Schizosaccharomyces pombe: one gene and its partners. Changing the gene in region 4 together with the main gene of any one other region gives a genetic interaction. Each region holds a gene or a part of one and is shown on either strand. Other genes may lie near its edges. The genes, in order: arf6, nod1, rga7 and rng2.

Region 1 (4,369 bases), on a different chromosome or scaffold from region 4:
TAAAGTTATCGGCGTTAATAACAGGAATTTGCATAGTTTTGAAGTAGACCTTTCCACTACATCAAAATTAGCCGAAATGGTCCCAGATGATGTTATTCTTGCAGCTCTCAGTGGAATTAGTAGTCCTGCTGATGTTGCCCATTATAGTAGTCAAGGTGTATCAGCAGTTCTTGTTGGTGAATCTCTTATGAGAGCTTCGGATCCTGCCGCTTTTGCACGAGAGTTACTTAATCTTTCTTCTAGCGAGATATCTAATGGTAAAAAAACATCAACACCCCTAGTGAAGGTATGTGGTACTCGTTCATTGTTAGCTGCTAAAACCATTGTAGAATCAGGAGGCGATTTGATAGGGTTAATTTTTGTGGAAAAGAGCAAACGAAAAGTGGACTTGTCCGTGGCCAAGGAAATTTCACATTTTGTTCATACAACCAATAGAAAACACATTTCCCCAAAGAAAGCAGTGACTGGTCAAAGTTGGTTTGATCATCAGTATGAAAATCTTGCTTCCTCTCCGCACCCTTTGTTAGTCGGTGTGTTCCAAAATCAACCATTAGAATACATTCGTTCTATAATAGCAGAAGTGAACTTGGATATTGTCCAGCTTCATGGACAAGAACCTTTCGAATGGATACATATGCTCGATAGACCTGTTATTAAGGTGTTTCCGCTAAATTCTTCTGAAATTTCAAGGCCCAACTATCATATTGTACCTTTGATTGATGCATATGTCGGTGGAGAGTCAGGAGGTTTAGGCAAGAAAGTAGACTGGGAAGCTGCATCTTTCATTCCAGTATCTTATGTCTTAGCTGGTGGTCTAACACCTAAAAATGTACAAGATGCTATATCTGTTAGCCGCCCAGCTGTAGTCGATGTATCGAGTGGGGTGGAGACTGACGGGAAACAAGATCTTGAAAAGATCAAGGCATTTATAAACGCCGTAAAAGAACTTTAACTTGTCTACATTAAATCAAGTTTGTCTAGATGTTTTTGGATACATATCATGAGACTTCGCTTAAAATAACTGGTTTTAGATTTTGTTGGATAAGAAGTGTGCGATAATTATATTATCTGGTTATTGATCACTTTTCTGTATTAAATTAAGAAATATTTTATTGACAAAAATGGCTGTTATCCAAATGTATTTGGCCGAATGAAGCACATTATAAAGTGATAGTAGGAATAGGGAAACGATTGGCAATAGTAAAGTTATATGCTAAAGAAAGAAAATGAATAGTAAAGACTGTACAGATTTAATTAAGCAACGATAAAGGGATAGAACGGAAGCTGATCGATGTAATTATTTGCAATTCTTGGGATAACGAACGAAATAAACACCATGTATTAACAAATCAAAGAAGCAAATTATTTTAACTTTGCGTTTTGACTTAGCCAAGCCAGACCCTCCAACAGCCCGTCTCCTGTAAGAGCACATGTTGGCTGAACGTTCCATAAACGATCCTTCAATTTGTCTAGCTGCAAAACATCGGTAATTTGAGCAGGTGAAAGAGCTACCATAGTGTTAGCATAAGTTATTCGGATTCGCAACCTTACCTCCAGGCAAATCCTGTTTATTAGCCAACACCAAAAGAAGACAGTCCCGCATTTCACGATCTGAAATAATGCGATGCAATTCTTGACGAGCTTCTGATATACGATTGCTGTCGGCAGAGTCAACAACAAAAATTAATCCTTTGGTTCCAGTAAAATAATGCCGCCATAAAGGTCGTATTTTATCTTGACCTCCAACATCCTACAAACAAATCAACGTTAGAACATGCTCGACCCAAGATTGATTATAAATATACCCAAACGTTAAACTTGATGTTTTTGTAAGTGACTGTTTCGACGTTAAAACCCACAGTGGGAATGGTGACAACACTGGCTGTTAGTTAATGAACACAAGAAAAATCAATTTCATTTACGGAAGCATAATTGCAACTCAAGATAATGCGCGACAGTAGACTTCACTGATTAATTAACCAACAGTCTTCGTAATGAAATCTATATCTACTATGCTAATACAGAAGCAGCGCATACGATACCTTGACACAATCGAAGAATGCTGTTTAGTGCTCTTTACCTTTGATTGAGTTTTAATTTGTATAAGATAGCTAAAATGTTAATAAAAGAGTTACCATTATTAAAACACCAAGTTAAGCACGATTATACGGAATGAAGACTGTAAAAATCCATCCGAATAAAAAACATACTCGTTTTTCCAGCTGCATCCAGACCTAGCATTAAGATACGCATTTCCTTGTTAGAAAACAACCGACTAAATGGCTTTGAAAACCCCTTAAATAGTGAATTGCCCATGGTATCAAATAATCCCAGAAGAAGATAACCAAAAGAAAGAATAGACCAAAAAAACCAAAGAAGTAGAATTTATATTGAACCCAGATACAGGGCTTTCTTCGTACTTTAAAAGACGGCTAGCACTAAACGTAGGTGCAGCTGATATCAACTCTCTCTGTCTGAAATATTTAATTAAGCCGAGCTGATACATAATGTAAATTAACGAGCTGCGTAACTGAATTATATGGAAGCCCATGGTCTTGTACTATATCGTAAATCCCATGTACGAATAATAAATTAAATATTAAGAATATTATTTTTATCGATTAACTTTTGGAATTTCCATCAAGTTTATTGAATAGAAACATTCTCATTCCCTTGCCTAATAACGCAGATTTATATTACTCAACTTTAACAGTGTATGTTAATGATTTGAAGCCTCATTATTTAAAGTATTTTTCAAAAAAAAATAAAAATAAAAAACAATCATATAAAATAACATTTAGTAGAAGAAGGCTTCAAGTATTGAATTATAAACAAACTAATGTTTTCGTAACATATGTTTCTATGCTAGCACTGTATTTTAAATTGTACTTTTTAATATTGATTCTTTATTTTTGTATGTATATCTCTCTATCTAGCAAGTGACTATTGAGATACAAGATCGACGATGATCGACAATTTTCATCCGAGTCGCGACCTATCTAGTAGTAAGCATATGTAATAAGTAAGTAGACCTAAATGTTAAAACTGTAACAGTCTTTCTACCAAATACACATTCTGAGATAGTCTTTAATGAAACATGTCTTTCGAAGGTAAAACGATCACTTGCAAGGTATGAAAAAGAAAACGTAAATCATTGTCTAAAGTGTAAATGATATTGGTGCTGTAAGTCCACCAAAGGTTTACTTTTGATATTATTGTTCATCCATGAGTATATGGATAATTATCTTTTATTTTTTCTTTCTGTGTACTAATAACATTCGTTTTAGGCAGCCGTAGCTTGGGGTGCAAAGGAACCTTTATCTATAGAGGAGTAAGTATAATGATGACAAAAGGAAAAGAATTTATACTTGAATTTTATTACTAACTTTTGACTTCTCTTCTGCTCATCAACGGGCAGAATGGGAGGTGATACTACAGTATTCAGGTTGCCCCTCCAAAAGCTCATGAGGTTCGTGTGAAAGTCGATTGGAGTGCTGTTTGTCACACAGATGCTTACACGCTGTCTGGTGTAGATCCAGAAGGCGCATTCCCTATTGTTCTTGGTCATGAGGGTGCTGGTATTGTGGAAAGCATTGGCGAAGGGGTTATCAACGTGCGTCCTGGAGACCATGTTATTTTGCTATATACTCCGGAATGTAAAGAGTGTAAATTCTGTCGTAGTGGTAAAACTAATTTGTGCTCCAAAATTCGTGAAACACAAGGTCGAGGTTTAATGCCTGACGGTACTAGTCGCTTTTCCTGTCGCGATAAAACGTTGCTTCATTACATGGGATGTTCTAGCTTTAGTCAATACACAGTTGTAGCTGATATCTCGCTTGTGGCTATTTCACACTCCGCACCTCTTCGCAGTATTTGCTTGTTGGGCTGCGGTGTCACAACTGGATTTGGTGCTGTGACACACTCTGCTAAGGTTGAGTCTGGTTCAACGGTAGCTGTTGTTGGATGTGGATGCGTAGGTCTCGCTGCAATGCAGGGTGCGGTTGCAGCTGGTGCTTCGAGAATCATTGCTATTGATATCAATGCAGATAAGGAAGTATATGCCAAGAAATTTGGTGCTACTGACTTTATCGATTCTTCTAAAGTTAAAGACCTCGTACAGTATGTTATTGATGTGACTGATGGTGGTGTTGACTATGCATTTGATTGCACTGGAAATGTCACTGTCATGCAGCAGGAACTTCAATTCTGCCACAAAGGTTGGGGTAAACTGTGTGTTATAGGCGTCGCCGCAGCTGGTAAAACCCTTGATTTTCGTCCATTCCTTGTAGTAACTGGTCGTCAAGTGTTGGGTTCAGCTTTTGGAGGAGTTAAAGGGCGTTCTGAATTGCCGAACTTTGTTGATGAGTAC
Region 2 (4,270 bases), 1.9 Mb from region 4:
TATATAATCCAGCGAACGTTTCGTTCGTAAAACTTGTATTGAAATCAGATGTATCAAGCCAAGTATTGGTGTCCAAAAGCGAGTTTTTAGCCCATTCAGGTACTTGAGTGGAATTAAATATCTCATCAATTATATTTACGCCTAAATTAGTGGTTTCCATATTTGTGTCTTTAATTTTTCGATCTGACTGAGCGTGAGGAATAATAACTAAAAATATAAGAGGAAGAATAATTGACAGGAAAACACATAGGGAAACAAAAAATGTAAGGAGGATAGTAATAAGAAGAGCCTTCTTGTCAATTTCTCTACACCTTTTAGATGTAAAGTCATCAACACCGAGTGATTTAGAGTCACAAGATGACTCAGCTTCTAAAAGATTGCTCATATTTTATCAATAAAAAGAAAGAAAGATATTTTGATCCAATTATTAAAAGAAGGAACTACCGGGCCCTTGACAAGAAAAGAAACAAAGATAATGATACAACTCTTCAAAGGGAGGAAAGAAAGGAAGAACGTGCTTCAAACAAAAAATATGAACATGTAGTCATCAAACAGTATTTAAATTGCAAAACTATTACAATAATACCGATCCATCATTGTGACGTTAGCGGTGGAACATGCATATAAGTTAGCAGTTAACAAGTCATAAACATAATAAAAAGTTAATAACAATCTAAAAATATAAGTAAATTTCCAATAATTAAACGTAAAAGTGTTAAGTGCTTTCTGAAAGTTTTTGACGATATTCGTCGATCATTTTATCAACCCGACTTTTTTCTTGAATAATTTTTTCCTCTTTCAATCTCTTAGTACTTTGAAAAGAAGTCACTTCCTCCGTAAATGTTTCATGCAAAGCTTCAATCTCCTCACGGCTTTCCTCATATGACTTGGAAACTTCTTCCAGATCTTTACAGGCTTTAAGAAATTTCTCGTAAAGTGCCTCATAAATCGCCAAAGATACCAAGTTATCATTGGGATTTTGCAATGGTAAATCAGTTTGATAACCAATATTAGTTGTTTGAACTTCAGGTACGGGTATGGGAGGAAGTTTATGCTGCTTTAAAGCACGCGGAATCGGAGCTTGTAGATCGTGATCTTTCATTACATTTAGTTCAGAATTAAGGTTGAGTGTAGAGGAAGAATACCCATTATGTGCGGAGTGAAAGGCTTCAGCTTGAAGTGGTTGCAAATCATTGGAGTTAGGTGATTGATTAGAGTTATTTTGGAAATTATTTAGCGTAGAGTATTGAGAATTTTGAAAAGAAGAGACTCTGTTGTTAGTAGTGTTTTGCTTGTAGTTTACGCCATTAAGAGGTCCTTCAGAAACGACCCGCCTTGTTTGTTTTGGGGAAGGAGGATGGTGCAGCTGAAAAACTTCCCTAGCTTCAAGAGATAAATGTTCAACTGCATGATAGATTTCAAAAACATAACCCCTCGGTGCTACGACAGCCGATATAGAAGCAAAAAATTGGACATGTTCCTGATAATCTCCACTGAGTTTAGGAAGCAAAATTTGTACAATCGAGAAAAAAACAGACAACATTTTTAGCTTCATTTGAGAGAATTCAGAGAAAATATTTTTTAATTTTTCATTACACTCTTTTGGTGAGAAAGAATAAGCATCGTAATCGATTTGTTGAAGTCGTTTACAGAACTGCTCTTCAATTATATAACCAGCTTTCTCCGGGATTCGATCCTTTACATAAAATAAAAATGATCCAAATAGTATTTTGGATGGAACAGATTCTAATGAAAGCGATTGATAAGGATTTTCTGCAATCGACGTACTGAGACAAACCATTTCCTTTTCCTCGTCTTTAGAAAAATTTGCTAGAACATCTTCAATACTGTCTTTAATTGAGAAAGCCGCTTCATAACGTTTTAAACCAAAAACCAAATCATCGTAAACAGCGTCTTGGGGGGATTGCTTTCGTAAACTTTCTTGAATAGGCGGATTAGGCAATGGTTTTTCCATTTAAATATATCAGAAAAGTAAATTTCAATCGGTATGGAACACCCAATCAACAAATAGTAGATAAGCGTTTCAAGGAAATCTTCACTTTAGAATTGCGTTGTAGAAGTTTGAAACCAAAATTCGTCTAGTTGCTTAAACAGAAGTATTTACGAATAGAGAAAAAATTTGAGATTGGATGGATGTCTCACCATAAATTGCTAAGTATTTTAACTAAATAAAGTTTCCAAATCATGAAGAATTTGTTAGACACCAATAAAACATTTATTGAGCGTTCGTGGATATGTTTGATCTTATATGGAGCACTATGTATAAACACAACTCTAGTTAGTTTGAAACTTCATTGTTTCATCATTTATTGATTCCAAATACATCGAGCATACAGTAATGTCAAGATGTGTTCATTTTTATAGCTCAGCAATTCTACAATAGCACTTCATTAATGCTAAACACAATTTTTTCTTCCATTATAGTACACCGTTATAATATTTGATCAAGTGGATAATTCAGTAGAAAATGATTTAATTTTTTTTGCAACTGATATTTTATAGTAAGGAATCCTTCCAAAAAATGTTGAAATTAAAGATATTCTTTCTATAAAACGCGGCTTAGCCAAAGGAATGTATTTTCTATCTTTTATTTTTGTATGCAACCAAAAAGTACTAAAAACTAAATTATGACTAGTTTTTTCAATCACAATCCTTCGGCTTTCATAAAATTCAATATGACATCGTAGCAGCCTAAGAAAATAGCACCTCCTCCACTTAACCATAAGACTCGAGGAACTATACCTTTGTAAAGAGCAAGAAAGCCTTCATGGGCAACTATCGATTTAATTGTAAACACATAAGAAAGTCGCTAAACAAATTAGTATCAAAAGTGTATATCAAGGTAGTGATTCACGCGCAAAATTCTTTAGTTTAATCAAAAAATCAAACACATACCTGCTGAGATGTCATAATTCTCGTTTTAACAACATCAAATGGAGTTGTTAAAGCAGCGGCTATTCCACCTGCAATGGAGCCCGAGATAGCTGCTTCATGAGCTAAATTCTTATTTCGAGAATGTTTAATTCTCCATTTCAGTTTCAGGTGCTCCCAAATTGGGAATTGGATTAGTGTGAAAGGGATTTCCCTTGCAATAGTGATTCCATAACCAGCATAAAAATCGCGCCAGACATTGTTAGATTTTAAAATCGTTTGCAAAATATTTCTAGATGATAATGTTCCACCAGAAGCTTGTGCTCTTTGCTTAATTACTTCTGTAGGGACTCGAACTATACAAGCCGCAATTTCACCTAGAGAAGCTGAACACATATGAATTTGGGGATCTGATAGTCCAAGGCCAGACTGGGATAATCTGGATTTCATGTTTTCATAAGTAGTAAAAAATAAAGAGGCTAGTAGCGTTAGTGAGTTAGTTTATTATACACTTTGTGAACTTTGTAATATATTATAAGAGGTAATTTAATAAGTGTCTATCGTTTGTTAAGACCAGAGAAAGAAACCATACATTTAGATTACTTTCTTTCTTTTTTTTCATACCTCCTGGGGCACTGCCAACTAGTATACTGCCTAATCCCCGATATACACCATGAAACCCTCCATTTTTTACAAATCCTCCTTTTGCTTGTAGTCTAGTTTTAAGTGTATCAATAGGAAACAAGGATAGATCAACTGCCAATCCAGCACAGATTCCTGCCTAGAAATTTTTGATTAGTCCTCATTATAGTTATTTATGTTTGTTTTGTTTCTTACACCCAGAGCTTCAAAAAATGACATTGCTGAATGGCGCTTTGAGGGAGTGAAATGACACGTTCTAAGAAGTTGGTGTCGGTTCTTACCATGAAAAATATGAATTCTACCAAATTGACATACTTTGTTGTATATAATTAATTTGCTAAATACATCCCAGTACAAGCATATATTCCAATACATAATTTCTTTGATTCTACATTGCACATTCACCATCAAGTATAAAAAGGAAAACGAATTACTAAAAACATAGTTAAAAATCATCTGATGTTTGATTTGAATTTATAGCGATAAATACTCTTTTATATGTTGCATGAATTCAATATTTTGATAGTACAATTACAATAATAGCTATTGTTGTTTAAAAGTCACCAAAGGTTTAGTGGATTCTTTCCTTATGTAATGACTTTTCTGTGTTGCATGAATGTTTATATGATTAGAAAAACTCAAAATCAATGGATACTATCAAATTGAAAGAATTCTATAACAGTCTTGTTAGTATACGACGAAGGGTTGGTCACAGGCGGCTTGGTATGAACACTTT
Region 3 (5,575 bases), on a different chromosome or scaffold from region 4:
CACGTAATGCAGATATGCATAGGACAAGAATCTCAGGATTACTGTTTTGAACAACTTTTTTAGTAAAACCGGGAAGATGTTGAATGTATTCTGGATAATTGTCTACTGTTTTAGGTTTGCTGAAGCTGATCGTATCTTCAATGTAAGATGCTTATAGTGAGTTAGTAAAGTGAAGTAAAAAAAAAAAGAATAATAAGCAATTATACCTTTAATCACTTTATCTGACAATTCTACATCGGTAAGATCACTATAAATGCTTTTTATGTAATTATTTAACAAATCGGACAGCGTGTCTGGACTCTGGATGATTGAAGCGTTTGTGTCTTGTAGTTCTAACAATTTAGCTCTTTTCCTTTCCTTTTGTTTTTGGCGTTGTTTTTTTCTTTTTTCACGTTTCGCTGAATCGTTGTTTTGAGAAGCAGTAAAATTTTCAGTTATTGTAGTAGGTTGTGCAGATTCTTCATCCGAAACTGAAATTTCTGAAACTAAATCTACCTGATAATCAAGTTGATCATCCAAAGCATCAGCGTCTGTTGTCGTGTAGCTCATAATTGCATGTTTTAAAATTTTGGTGTTAGGGATACGTTCAGTTCGTGGACCGTCGAATAGTACAGGAAAAATGTAAAAAAAAATATAAATCTATCGTTTACAAAAATATAGAGTATTTGAAGGTCTATATAGAAGAAAAAAAAATAAAAGGAATTCATTTGGTTTATAAAATCGTAGATAATTTCCATTATTACGTTATGAAGGTTGTCTAAACTATGGATTAAAATTGTGAACGGAATTGACAGTAAAGAAAAGAATGAATTTGTAGACAAACAAAAGTTTAGGATAAAAACAAGGTAAGGAAAGGGATAAAAAGGGGAAAGAGGTGGAAGCATACAAAATCCAAGAAAGAGAGAATAGTGTCAAGTGTGCTTTATTGACGCAAAGGAAAAAAATATAAAAAGAGAAAAAAAAGATGGTAAGCAGTAAATAATACAGAAAATGATCTTTTAATCGTAGTCAAAAATTGTGAAACAATAGTCGATAAGAATTTCGATAGTTCTAGAGAAACTGCTAATTTCTGGGATAGTAGCTTGCTTAATGATAGTAGGTCCCCAAATAATGGCCAAATTGTTTGTCGACATTTTGTTTACATCGCTGTTTTCTTTAATTTTAGCAAGATGTATGGTTAAATGACGAATGGTAGAGTAGTTGGCATCGGGAAGATCGTTGATCGCACGATGGACGGCATCTCTTCTTCTGGATTCGTCTTCAACGTTACCTGCGTCGATAAAGTCTCTTTGATGATTGTCGGGAATTAACGGTTCACGTAGTTCACGGAAAAAGATTTTTAGTAGATCAGCGACTGCATGAACGTCGTTTTCATAGTCCTCAGGTGTATGTAATTGTAAGAGAGGATTATTCTCAAATTGAGAACGTAACATGTTGACACGGGCGGAAGAGCTGGGAACACGGTAGATGCCCTGGAGGTTGAGACCAAAATTTTCGACTTGGGAAGTGCATTGCATTACGATGTTTGGAATGTTGGAATGTTCTCGTAGAATGATTGCGTCTAATCGAGCACCAAAGAGTAACGATTTCGTAGGAGAGGAAGGTTGAGGGGAGACAGAAGTTGGTCGGAAGGGAGATGCAGCACGGTTTGAGTTGATGCTAGAAGGCGGTGGTGCGACTTCTCGAGACGTTTGAATCGTTGTCGTCTGGATGGGAGGTAAAGTAGGAAGTAGTACGGGAGGTGATTGTTGGGCAACAGGGGGCTTGTTTTCTGCATTAGAAGCGAGTGGAGAAGAGGTACGAGGATTGGAAGAAGAGGATGAAGAAGAACCGTTTGTGTCATTGGCGGTACTAGGTTTTAGGGTAGAAGCCAAAGGAGAGGCTGAAGCGGGAGCAGTAGAGGGATTGGAAGTAGATGAGTTTGGGAAGGCAGGGGAAGCCACAGAAGGGTTGGGAAAAGTGGATGGAGCAGGATTAGTGTTTTGTAGGGGAGAGGGAATAGCAGCAGTAACCTTGATGGTGGGGTTGACGGGTGGATTGGTTTTTCCGGCAGAGGAACCAGTTCCGTAAGAGCTTGGAGGTTGAATGATTTTTGTTTTAGAAGCGTCGGTTGGATTTTTGTTATCTTCATGCTTGATGGAGGCGTGAAGGACGTATTGAACAAAATCGGTATTTGCATTTATATTATCCAAAGCATGTTGTAAACCACAGTTGGTAGGAGTGGGCTTTTGTGGACGGATTGTGAGACCGTTGAGCAGGGTGTTTGACTCGCAGAGCTTTGTGTACCGTAGATAGTTTGCAATGAGTGAGCTTTCAATTTCGCGTTGAAGGGAAAAGAATTGCTTTATGTAGTTTGGTCGGTGAATACACAAAAGTTGTTTTTGAACGTTTTGAGCGTTTTCAATCTTACTGTGCATATCTGATTCTGCATTTTCGGCCTTAAGGCGAGCTTCATCTTCGAGTTTGGTGAGCTGAGCATTAGATTTTGGTTTAAAAAAACCAACCTTCTTCTGGGAGTCTCCAGTGTTTTTGTTGTCGAGAGCGCGGTTGTACTCGGTTTCGGCACCCTTAAAGCGAGATTTGGATTTATCCATTTGCATAACGGCTTCTAAATATGCGTTTTCTTGTTTTTTCGCATATTCCTTGATGGATTTTCGTTTGCGTTCTGCGTTTTTGTGAAATTCGATGACTTGATCGGAAAATGCAGAAAGAGTTTTTTGAAGGGTTAAACTGTGATTGGCAAGTTGTTCATGAATTTCCATACTCGTAATGACAGAGGCGGAAAAAGATTGGGGAGAGTGGTGTTTGGATTGAAACGTCTCTAGGTAGGATTTAGCAAGTTTTTGTAAATTTTTTCCACTTTCTTCTTCGAGAATGGAACGCTTTTTAAAGAATCCGGCGAGTTCTTTGCAAGTGAGGAGGTAGTCTTTAATGCGATCATTTAGGATTGCTAGACCAAGTTCCGAATTGAGGATCGCTTCGACTTTTGGTTCTTTGAGAACTGCGAAATCATCAGAGGAAGTGGTATTTGGAGGCGATGTTGGTGGGGAAGCGGGAGTGGTAGAGGAGGAGGGAGCCGACAGCATTGAAGGAGTTGAGTGATGGGCGGGAGCAAGAGAAGTAAATAGAGTGAGAGAATAGAAAGAGTAAAAATAACAAAAGAAGCGCGGTAAACGCGAAAATATATAAAATCACTTGAGCAAGCAAAGAATGATAGAGGAAAGAAGGGTGAATTCTTTGTTTGTAAGGAATTGGTAGTGGGTGGTTGGTTTGAGTAGTATAGCGAGTATAGAGGATGTAAACGAGGAAAGGGTAAGGAGAGGACGGTAGAGGAAGAGATAAAGAGGATTAAGGAGGTATGAGTAGTTCAAATTACGGAGATGTAACGAAGCTAAAAGTTTGGAATTGGGAGGTTGAGTGTGGGGGATGAAAATGAGTTTAAGATAGGAAGGTAAAGGAAAAGAATAAAATACAAATTGCGTTGTATAACGTTTCTGCCATACCCTTTTTAAGTGGGATGAAGTATAGTGAGGGAGGGTTGAAAAGGAAGGAAGAGTTGACTGTGGTATTCGAGGTAAGTGTCATACCCTTTCCAAGTGGGAGGTAGAGATACGTGGGGGTAAAGACTGAGGTGAGTAGGAAGGCGGTAAGGGGAAGAAGGGTATAAGGAGAAAGAGTTGATTGTGTTATTTAAGGAAAAGTGTCATACCCTTTCTAAGTGGGGGATAGCAAAATAAGGAGACAGAAAGTTGGTTGCGTTATTCGAGTAAAATGCCATACCCTTTCCAAATGGGGGAGAGGATTAGGTGAATGAAAAGAACAAATAAGTAGGATTATTCTATTGCAAGTTGTTTGTAATACTTTTTTTGTCATGAACGAATATGTAAAAACAATAATAAATCCTTAGAGCCTACTGTTAATATAATAACATTATGTTTATTCTATGACTACAGGTTTGTCAACATGTTTTATTGCGACTGTTTAATTTTTGTATTTGTTATACCGATATATTTTTAATCAGTATTATATTTTCTTAAATAACTTAATAACGAACTTGACAATGAAACGTTCCTAATTCTCATTAGACGGGAATTCTTTAGGGGACCCCACATTAAGTGGGATGAGTGCTTGCTTTGTTGTAGTAGCTATGGTAACTATTTCTTTGTTTGGGTAGGAACAAAGAAAGAGAAAGGAGAGAAAATAGTGGGTTAGCCGTGAAAGGAAAAGAGAGTGAGAAGAAGGGTAGGAAAAGAAGAGAGAGTAGTTGAAGGAAAAATATTGGAAGAGGTAGTATTTTTCTGTATGCATATGCATATGCATTTGTATAGCATACAACCTTTAATTTAATAGCCATACAACCTAATAGCCAGAAACGCCTTCCCAATTTACTGAACCCTGCTTATATGTAGTTTATAATTGTTGTGTCTTTTTTTTACGTTTAAGTTGTAATTTGATGTTAGAATTTATTACAATGGATGCAAGTTTTAACTCAATTTGATCACATAGGATTTGAATTGTAAAAAGGTCTTCTGCTGACATTATTAGTATGTATTGTGCTTTAGATTAAATTATTGTGTTTTAGTGTATTTTGTTCCTTTGTTTTTGGGTTTCTTTGTTCTGTAAGTAGTTAAATACCCTCCACACTCTACACCTACCTTGCACTCACAACTACAATGGACTCACACCAAGAATTATCAGCGGGTTCCCCTATTTCCTACGACTTTTTAGATCCAGACTGGTGTTTTAAAAGATACCTTACAAAGGATGCTCTTCATTCAATTGAAACTGGCAAAGGTGCTGCTTACTTTGTTCCTGATGGCTTTACTCCTATACTCATTCCTAACTCACAAAGCTACCTGTTGGATGGGAATTCTGCACAACTGCCAAGACCTCAACCAATATCCTTCACATTGGATCAATGTAAAGTTCCCGGCTATATTTTGAAGAGTTTACGGAAAGACACTACGTCTACTGAACGTACTCCGAGACCCCCTAATGCTTTTATATTATACAGGAAGGAAAAACATGCTACATTATTAAAGTCTAACCCTTCCATCAATAATTCACAAGTTTCCAAGCTGGTTGGAGAGATGTGGAGAAACGAATCAAAGGAAGTACGTATGCGATATTTTAAGATGTCTGAGTTTTATAAAGCACAACATCAGAAAATGTACCCTGGTTATAAGTACCAGCCTAGAAAGAATAAAGTTAAAAGATAATAATGGTAATATTTATGGTATTTAATAAAGAATTTTGAAATTGATTTAAATATGCTTCTTAGAGTTACATTCACTGAAGATTATAATGTAATATTTTGTGTACCCCATTTGCGTTGAGTTATTCTATAGTAATTATTGTGTGTTCTATTAACGATGTATTGCGATTTATATCTGTTATGCTAACATAACGTAGTTCTAAGCACTGTAATGCCATACTGTTTTAGAGGGTGATGCTTCCTAAAATCTCCTTACATAAAGTAATACATGGATTTTACTGCCCTGATTCTATCGAAATATGCTGTTTTTTTTATTCGTTTTTATTTATTTTCAATAATTTTTTTGTAATATAAATGTAT
Region 4 (7,682 bases):
TATAGCACCGGTTACATGATATAAAACCTTGACCTCCCTGTATTCTTCCCAAGGCATTGGCATGTTCTCAAGCAATTTTAGCACAGCATGTGGCAAGTACTTCAAAGCGCCCAAATAGGAACGTTTATCAGCACGAAACTTCCTAGAAGACATATCTCCCCTGTCTTTCATAATTTTGCGCAGGTGCTCAGGCGGAAGATCAGCTTTCTCTGTTTGAACATAACCCTGCTTCCTTTTGACACCAAACTTTGATTTTTGAGAAGCGCGCCATTTGCGTGCTCTTTCGTTAAGTTGCTTTTCAAGATTTCCAGACTGTGCTGGAGTCTTGTTTTTTCTTTTCTTCACATAACCTGGAGGTGGAGGAGGTGGAGGCTGTGAAGGAGGCTCAAATCCAGGCGGAGGAGGCGGTGGAGGAGGATTCCCCGGTGGTAACGACGCCATTTAGGTAATGGTATTTGTCAGCTGAATTGTGGTAGTGAATATTACTTTGTATGGTGGTGACCCTCGCCATTATTTGTGCGTAATATTCTTTTGTGCGTTTTATTTCATATTAGGTCTATGTAGTCTTCTGCTCATAATACGTGTTTAATGTATATTTTTTTACACGCTATACGGGATTTGAAAATTCAAATTTTCTTCGTTAAAATGCAACACGCTTAAGAAGTTTGTCAACCAAACACCTACCCATATCCAAAGGTTAATTTGAACATAATCATGCTCAATCGAATCGCCTTATAAGAATTAGTAAAGATGTATGTATTGACATAAATTACATTTTGTTATAAAAAAGTGTTATTTGTAATTATAAACCTTTAACTAATTCAGAAAGTATAAATTACCAAGTACAACTAGTATGCATAAACCAAAAATTCCTATTCCTTGATTTAGTGTTTCAGGTTCAACGGCTTTAGTTGAAAAAAAAAATTTGAAAAATAACACCGAGTTAAATAAGATTTGTACAGTATAAGTAAACACAAGTAGTGATAAAAAAACCCCCCACACTAAGTGAATGAAATGGGAAAACTGTGCAAATTATCAGAATTAAAGGGGAGAAAATATCACATAGTATACATATTTCGCCAAAAGAATATGGACAAGTATTAATGTGCAAAGATATTTGACGGTTTTAAGTTAATTCGAATTAAATCATTGGGTAGTTAAAGAGACGGAAAAATGAACAAAGTGAAACGTCTCATGAATAAAATTTGGAGAAAATCAAATGTAAGAACATATTGGTGTTTAATTTGAGACGGCCATCCAAAACATCCAAAGTTAAAACCTTGTTATATTGAGCAGACAACAAGTCGTCCAAATGCAATTCACACCTTGGGCTCGAAACTTTAACTGTCGGGCTTGTTGCTTCCAGAATAAATTTGCCAACTTCATCGGCTGATATAGTAATATACAATTTTTCTTTCTGCGGCATATGAGATATTGATACCAAAACTCCTCGGTCATAGAGTTTAAGAGCTGGGTACTTGAACGACCCAAAGCGAGGAACGCGTCCAGATTTTCGGAGATCTCGCATGTGAAAATACTGTTTAGAAAAAGGAATAAGCTTCTTCTTACCCTTCTTTGATTGTAATGTTTCCATAGCTTGTTCAATGTATTCGTTATAACTTTTTAGCTGCGAATCAAGGAAAGCTCTTTTTTCTCGTAAGTTAAGCAAACTTTGATGTCCCGCATCAAGTTCACGCTGTCGTTGCATCCTTCTTCTCGACTTATTACGGATATCTAGAGCGATAGAATTTACCATATCTTGGTAATTATTCCGTCGGTTTGCAAATCCAAGCTTTTCCATTTCCACTATATTGCTTAGTGCAGTGTATTTCAGTTCTGCAAATGACATTGAAAAGATAGAATCATCAAACAAATCATAATTCCTTGCATTCTTTTCAGATTCTTCTGCCAATAAATTTTGCCATGCTGCTTCGTCTGAATCTGTAACCGGTTTGACAAGTATTTCCAAAAGATTAAGGCCATTTTGAATTCGAATAATAAATAATATATATCTCTTTGTCTGAACAATAAGAGTCCGTTCCTGAGCAACGGGATTTTCTATAGTGCAAAATTTGGGATTCAATTCTAGTTTGACGTCAGTTTCATCTTGCACAAAGTCATTGTCTTGCTCTGAAACAGGACCTAAGCTATTGACAACAGCGCGTAATGGATCGTTCACATCAGGAGGAGCAATACTATCTATGACATATGCAATAGATGAATAAATGCCTAAAATATCGTCTCGCTTCATGTATATTACTGGCCGCTTGGTATTAACAAGGTCTTCAAAAGCATCGAACTCAAAGTACACCTCTGGATCAACCACATCGACAAGCCTTTCTAGCATCAACATGGTATCCTGCTTGGACACCTCAATAAACTCGGAGAGTGGTCTAAAAAAACCAAGTTGCTTAGAGTCACAGGACTCGATTGAAAAGATCTCAGACAAAATGCTTGACAATGTGTAAAGGTTTTTTCGTTGAAGAGCTGTAATAGAGCCATCAACCAACTTGAAGTTATCGGGTGACACAAGTACAGGAGCGACATAAGCCCAATAAACAAATTTCCCTATTACGCCAAAAATTTCTTCTTTATGCGCAGCGGGGAAATATCGTTGTAAGCTATTTTTCAATTGTGCTGCAGTATAGCATAAAGCATAAGGAATATTTTCAATATTCTTAGAAAGTGCTACTAGGAATGATTGACACAGTTTTCGAAGTTCACGAAGTCTGCTAACGTATAGATTTCTTGTCGGTGGGTGTTGCATTGCTAACGACAAAGTGAGTTTTGGACTATCAGTTTGACTGGCAACTTCAGGATTGAAACTTTTAAATAGAGTCAACGGATTGATTTCAAAATCCAAATGATTGTCGGCTACTAAAACCTTGTGAATGCGGCCGAGAATAGTTTTCCAAAGCTTCACTTCACGAACGTCCCCACGATATCCAGTGAACAGTAATTTCCAGACACAGTCATCAGAAAGTAGATCCTGAGATGAATTAACTAAAGCTGCTTCTAGCTTAATGACTTGGGAAATGAATCTCAAAAGTAGTACTTCTTCTCGTCGGTTAGAGCCATGGCCGAAAATTTGCAAAACTAAATAAACAGCATGACGGATCTTTACAGAGGAAGTGCCCTCAGTTTTTAGCGCTTGAAAATAATTTGCTAAGTACATTTCGTTGGTTTGTAACACATAGAAAAAACACTGATAAAGTTCCAAAAATTTTCTGCTTGAATTGTTGAGTGACTTCATAGACAGAGTATTAATTTTTAAATATTCAGTGCTTTGCTTTCCAAATTTATACTTGTTGTGATGTTTTAAAACATCATCCAAACTGATTTTGTTTTTAACCAACAAAGCAATCTTCACGTCTAGTTCATTGATGTGAACTTCAATTTCTTCATTGTCTCGTACTTGTTGCACAATTTCTTTTCTCATTTTTTCAAGCAATACTTCTTCCTCAAAGTCGAAATTGGTGTCGTCTAATAAATGAACAAAATTTTTGACCGTCATAACAGGTGGATTTTTGGCCGTAGCAAGTTCTCTATAAGCCAACCCTTCTTGACGACCCCTAAAAATGGACTTCGCAACTATGGGATTCTCCATATTCTTATGAAAATTTTGAAGTTTTCTTGAAAATTTGTTTCGAGATAGATACCCACGAATTAAAGATTGTAACAATACAATTTCAGGAATAAAAGAATCTAACTGAACTTCAGTATAATTCACATCATCTCGTAAAAGAATTGCACGGACTGCAGATTGCATAAACACGATATCTGGTAATCGCTTTAACAAATAGTCGTTACAATAATCAATTTTGGTTCGAGTAATGAATCCCCGATAAAGAGATTGGGCTTTAATGACAGATAGGTGCGATTTTTGAAAAGAATCATAAATGCTTTCCAAGTTTTTTCTTAAAAGAAAAGCCCGAACAATTGCCTGTAGAGCAATGAAAGAGGATGTTGATGCTTTTAATTTCTCCAATTTCTCTTTAAATGCCCGACGAATCATAAATCCTCGAGATAAATTTTGTAGTTTAATAAAATTATCCAGTTCTCCCAGAAGTGATCCATTTAATCTGTTTATAGAATCCCTTATCAAGCGTCCTTTGCAAATAGAGTGAAAAGAAACGGGAAACGATTGTACGGAATCTAGAAAGTTAGACCATTCATTCCGAAACATATTTGCACGCAGTATACTTTGCATCCGGTTAAAGAGAGGGATATAGTTGTAAAGGTTGTCAAGCATATTAACTATTGCATGACGGGTAAGAAATCCTAAAGCTGAGGATTGAATTAACACAAATGATGGTGTAAATAAGTCTAGCCTCTCTATTAACGAGTGGTATTTACGACGATAGAAACCCCCACGAATAATGCTTTGTAACGTTTGGATTGACTTCGTTGCCTCCTCCTGTAAAACCACTTTACGGTATTGTGCACGTATCAGATATGCACGAGAGATGGATTGAATAGAAGTAACCCAGTTTACAAGTTCATCGTATGCTTTCTTTCGTATTCTGTATGTATTTCTAGATATATATCCACGAATTACGGCTTGCAGAAGTACGACAGAAGAACTTTGTTCCACGAGGGATTGTAACATATCCACCAAACGCAAGCGCACAAGTACGCCACGACCACAAGCTTGAATCGCGTTCACGATTTTCTCATCGACAGGGCTACGCTGACTAAGTCCAGAAGTGGTAGAAAATAGTGCCTCCCGTCTTCTTGTGGGTGCTGAAAATGTTGTGAGGAAAGATCGTTGCATATGTCCCTTTTGAGAAGGGGGTTGAAAAAAAGAGTCTTCGAATTCGATTGAATGACTAGGCAAAGTTTGTTTATATGGTTCATTAAATTGTTCTAACGAAGGTGTCGCTGATTTCGTCCTTCTGTGCATCTTAAGGATGTCTGAACGAGCGCTAGCATCTTTCTTCGAAAATTCTAAAGTAGGAGAAGTATAAGGAGACGAATATATAGATGCAGAATCTGATGAATTTAGGGTTTGGAAACGAGCATGCTTGGGAAATCGTGTAGGGGAAGGAGTGCGAGAAGAAACAGGACTAGCACGAAGCATAAAATCGGCACTTAAAGCTTTGAAGTTAGGAAGGATTACATTAGATTGTCGGAGTCTACGGACTATTATTGAAACGTCTTCATCAGTAAAAGATAGATTTTCATCACTCTTGATTAAAGGGGGTGCCAAGTCCTGCATAGAAAGGAAATAAGAAAGGGCATGAATACAATAGATAACTTTGGGTAAATTTTTCCCTTCGTAAATGTCAGTCAGTTCGAAATGAAAAATTTCGGGAAGCCCAATGCCATGGATAAAGTCAAGAAACTTATTAATGTTATCTGAATGGCGAAACTGGAGTTCATTAGAATAGAATATCTTGATTAGTTTATCGGGTTGAAATTTCTGAACCAAGAGAGCCAAGACAACTCCGTTTCGCAGCGACTGCTCAAATGTAGACGTTGGTCCTAGATCTGTGCCGAGGCATTCTTCTATCCATTTTTTTGCTTCATCAACCCTACACAAATAATCATATGCTTGAAGGGTTTCTCTTTGTTTGGCTGCTAAACGAGTGTTCGACCCTTTCGTGCCAACAGGTGCCCCAGCTTGAGATTGAAGTCTAGATAATCCCACATTTACGTCCATTGAGACTTCTGATGACTACCTACTCAGCATTCGATCTCAAACTAGATAAAGTAACTGCACACAATTTTTCGGCTATGTTAGTGGAGAGTAGCTGTTACTCAGACAAAGAAAATGTGGGTTATCAAGATGAGTGGGGGGTTTTTAGGTGTAAGTAGTTTAATTCAAGATACTGTCCGTTAGTGACGAATTTACTCTAATTATTTAGGTTATGCTATTACAAATGAAGGTTATTCATTTTAAGACTACAATACGTATGAGTTTTAAATAATTAACAAAAAAGTTGTCAAAATCACATATTCATGTATCAAAAAAAAGTCTACTAAAAGAGATTTTAACAGTATCTAGTTTGCATTCTAATCTTTTTTTCGGTGATTTAAGGCTTCACCGAATAGCTACGGCGGAACATGTCATCAATACCAGTAAGGTAGTAAGTACCTGAACGAAGACGTTCGATGCTTCCTTTGGGAGTAAAATTCTTTTTCAAGTGTGCTTGATGGCGTAGCTCAATAGCCTCTTCATACTGCGTAGGGGTTAAACAATGACGATTATCCAAATCGTTAACCAAGTTAGTTTTCTTGGCAATTTCAGAGACGTCGCCTTTGACAACGAATGAAAAAAACGAGGCAGCCAAACCAGAACCATAAGAGTAAGCACCGACGCGTTTTCCTTTAAGTTCATCAGCGGGGACACGGCTAAGTAATGCAGTTAAACAAGAGAAAATACTGGCAGTGTACATATTACCACAGTTGGTAGGGGCATAGACACTAGGGGAAACTCGTTTGTTAAAACGCTCTTTAGTTATGGCCATAAGACCTTTTTCTAAAGCCTTGTCGGTAAGGGATTTCTTAGCATCCAGGGTGCTAAGAAGTTCACGGACACCTTCCAACTCGGGATTAGATGGTTCAGCAGCGCTATCGGTGTACAATAAACGCGCATATGCTTTTTGGACTTGTTTGCAAGTAGGAGCGTGGAAAATGCAATAATCAAAACGATCCAATCCAAGTCCTTGACTTTTTCCATTCTTAGCAACATCACGAACATTGTAATTAGCATATGCTCCATCAAGAGCTTTAACATAACATTCAAGAGAAAAATGGCCATCAACGTAAGGGTATTCACTCGTCAAATCGGGTTTGTAAAAATCGTAAGCATGTTGCATGTAAGTACCACGTAGACCAGGTTCAAAAACAATAGGGGCATTAGGACCAACCAAAAGGGCGACACAACCAGCACCACCGGTAGGACGAGCATTGCCCTTGGCATAGAGAGCAATATCACCAGCGACAACTATACCATCACGGCCATCCCAAGCAGAAGACTCAATCCAATCGATTGTGTTAAAAAGAGCGTTCACGCCACCATAACAGGCATTAACACAATCAATACCTTCGACATTGTGGTTATCCCCAAAAAGTTGCATTAAAACACTTTTGACAGACTTAGATTTATCGATGATAGTCTCAGTTCCAACTTCCAAACGACCAATCTTGCTTATATCAATTTGGTATCTCTTGATAAGTTGAGAAAGAGCGGTAAGACCAAAGGAATAAATGTCTTCACGATCGTCGACAAAAGCCATCTTAGTCAAGCCGAGGCCAATAGTATACTTTCCAGTAGAGACTCCATCATGCGCTTCGAGGGCAGCTTGTTCAACATACTATAGGGTAAAAACGATTAATATCAGGTTCTGAAGGAATTTAATGAGAAAGTATTTCTATTACTTTCCTCTGAAGCTTGCGTAAATTTGTACTATTGAAAAAAGATGTAGGTAATGCATGCAAATAATTTGGAGGAGAAGTTTTGAAATAAAGTAGCGACTCATTTATAACATACCTGATTGGGAGTGTACAACACGAGGCCCTTAATACCAATATCTTTTCTATCAAAGGACATTTTCTTGAGTTTCTACAAAGTGTGAGGGTTTTGAAAAAAGATTGCACTAACCTATTTGTGAGGCGACTAAGCGGAAAATTATCGAAGTATCTTGGTTATGGTTAAATGAAACAGATAGCTTTAGTTA

What was found.
Region 1: of rng2 (region 4) and arf6, changing one enhances a phenotype caused by changing the other (phenotypic enhancement), as found in Schizosaccharomyces pombe (one study listed by BioGRID).
Region 2: of rng2 (region 4) and nod1, changing one enhances a phenotype caused by changing the other (phenotypic enhancement), as found in Schizosaccharomyces pombe (one study listed by BioGRID).
Region 3: mutations in rng2 (region 4) and rga7 are lethal when combined (synthetic lethality), as found in Schizosaccharomyces pombe (one study listed by BioGRID).

Annotation. Positions count from the first base shown.
Region 1 is NC_003423.3:4,373,804-4,378,172, reverse strand, and holds arf6 (ADP-ribosylation factor-like protein Arf6), read right to left. Parts: upstream 2,445-4,369; 5' UTR 2,317-2,444; coding exon 2,211-2,316; exon of another isoform or gene 2,112-2,210; coding exon 2,081-2,111; exon of another isoform or gene 1,879-2,080; coding exon 1,806-1,878; exon of another isoform or gene 1,751-1,805; coding exon 1,552-1,750; exon of another isoform or gene 1,509-1,551; coding exon 1,363-1,508; 3' UTR 996-1,362; downstream 1-995. Other genes in the region: trp1 (anthranilate synthase component II), read left to right, coding at 1-952; fmd1 (glutathione-dependent formaldehyde dehydrogenase), read left to right, coding at 3,098-3,130, 3,288-3,331, 3,439-4,369. UniProt on the Schizosaccharomyces pombe protein: GTP-binding protein that functions as a molecular switch for the activation of 'new end take off' (NETO), a process in which the directions of cell growth change from a monopolar manner to a bipolar manner in fission yeast.
Region 2 is NC_003424.3:4,587,970-4,592,239, reverse strand, and holds nod1 (protein Nod1), read right to left. Parts: upstream 2,075-4,270; 5' UTR 1,976-2,074; coding exon 716-1,975; downstream 1-715. Other genes in the region: glucan glucosidase exg2, read right to left, coding at 1-385; pet801 (putative S-adenosylmethionine transporter), read right to left, coding at 2,666-2,830, 2,917-3,371, 3,517-3,673, 3,730-3,753; til1 (tRNA(Ile)-lysidine synthetase family protein), read left to right, coding at 4,182-4,257.
Region 3 is NC_003423.3:2,109,809-2,115,383, forward strand, and holds rga7 (Rho-type GTPase-activating protein Rga7), read right to left. Parts: upstream 3,268-5,575; 5' UTR 3,087-3,267; coding exon 999-3,086; 3' UTR 677-998; downstream 1-676. Other genes in the region: cms1 (U3-containing 90S preribosome complex subunit), read right to left, coding at 1-150, 207-549; mat1-Mi (M-specific transcription factor Mi), read right to left, coding at 4,411-4,539; mat1-Mc (M-specific transcription factor Mc), read left to right, coding at 4,674-5,219.
Region 4 is NC_003424.3:2,643,497-2,651,178, reverse strand, and holds rng2 (IQ motif containing GTPase activating protein), read right to left. Parts: upstream 5,752-7,682; 5' UTR 5,663-5,751; coding exon 1,193-5,662; 3' UTR 752-1,192; downstream 1-751. Other genes in the region: U5 snRNP complex subunit Spp42, read right to left, coding at 1-441; hcs1 (3-hydroxy-3-methylglutaryl-CoA synthase), read right to left, coding at 6,036-7,319, 7,496-7,555. UniProt on the Schizosaccharomyces pombe protein: Component of the contractile F-actin ring; required for its construction following assembly of F-actin at the division site.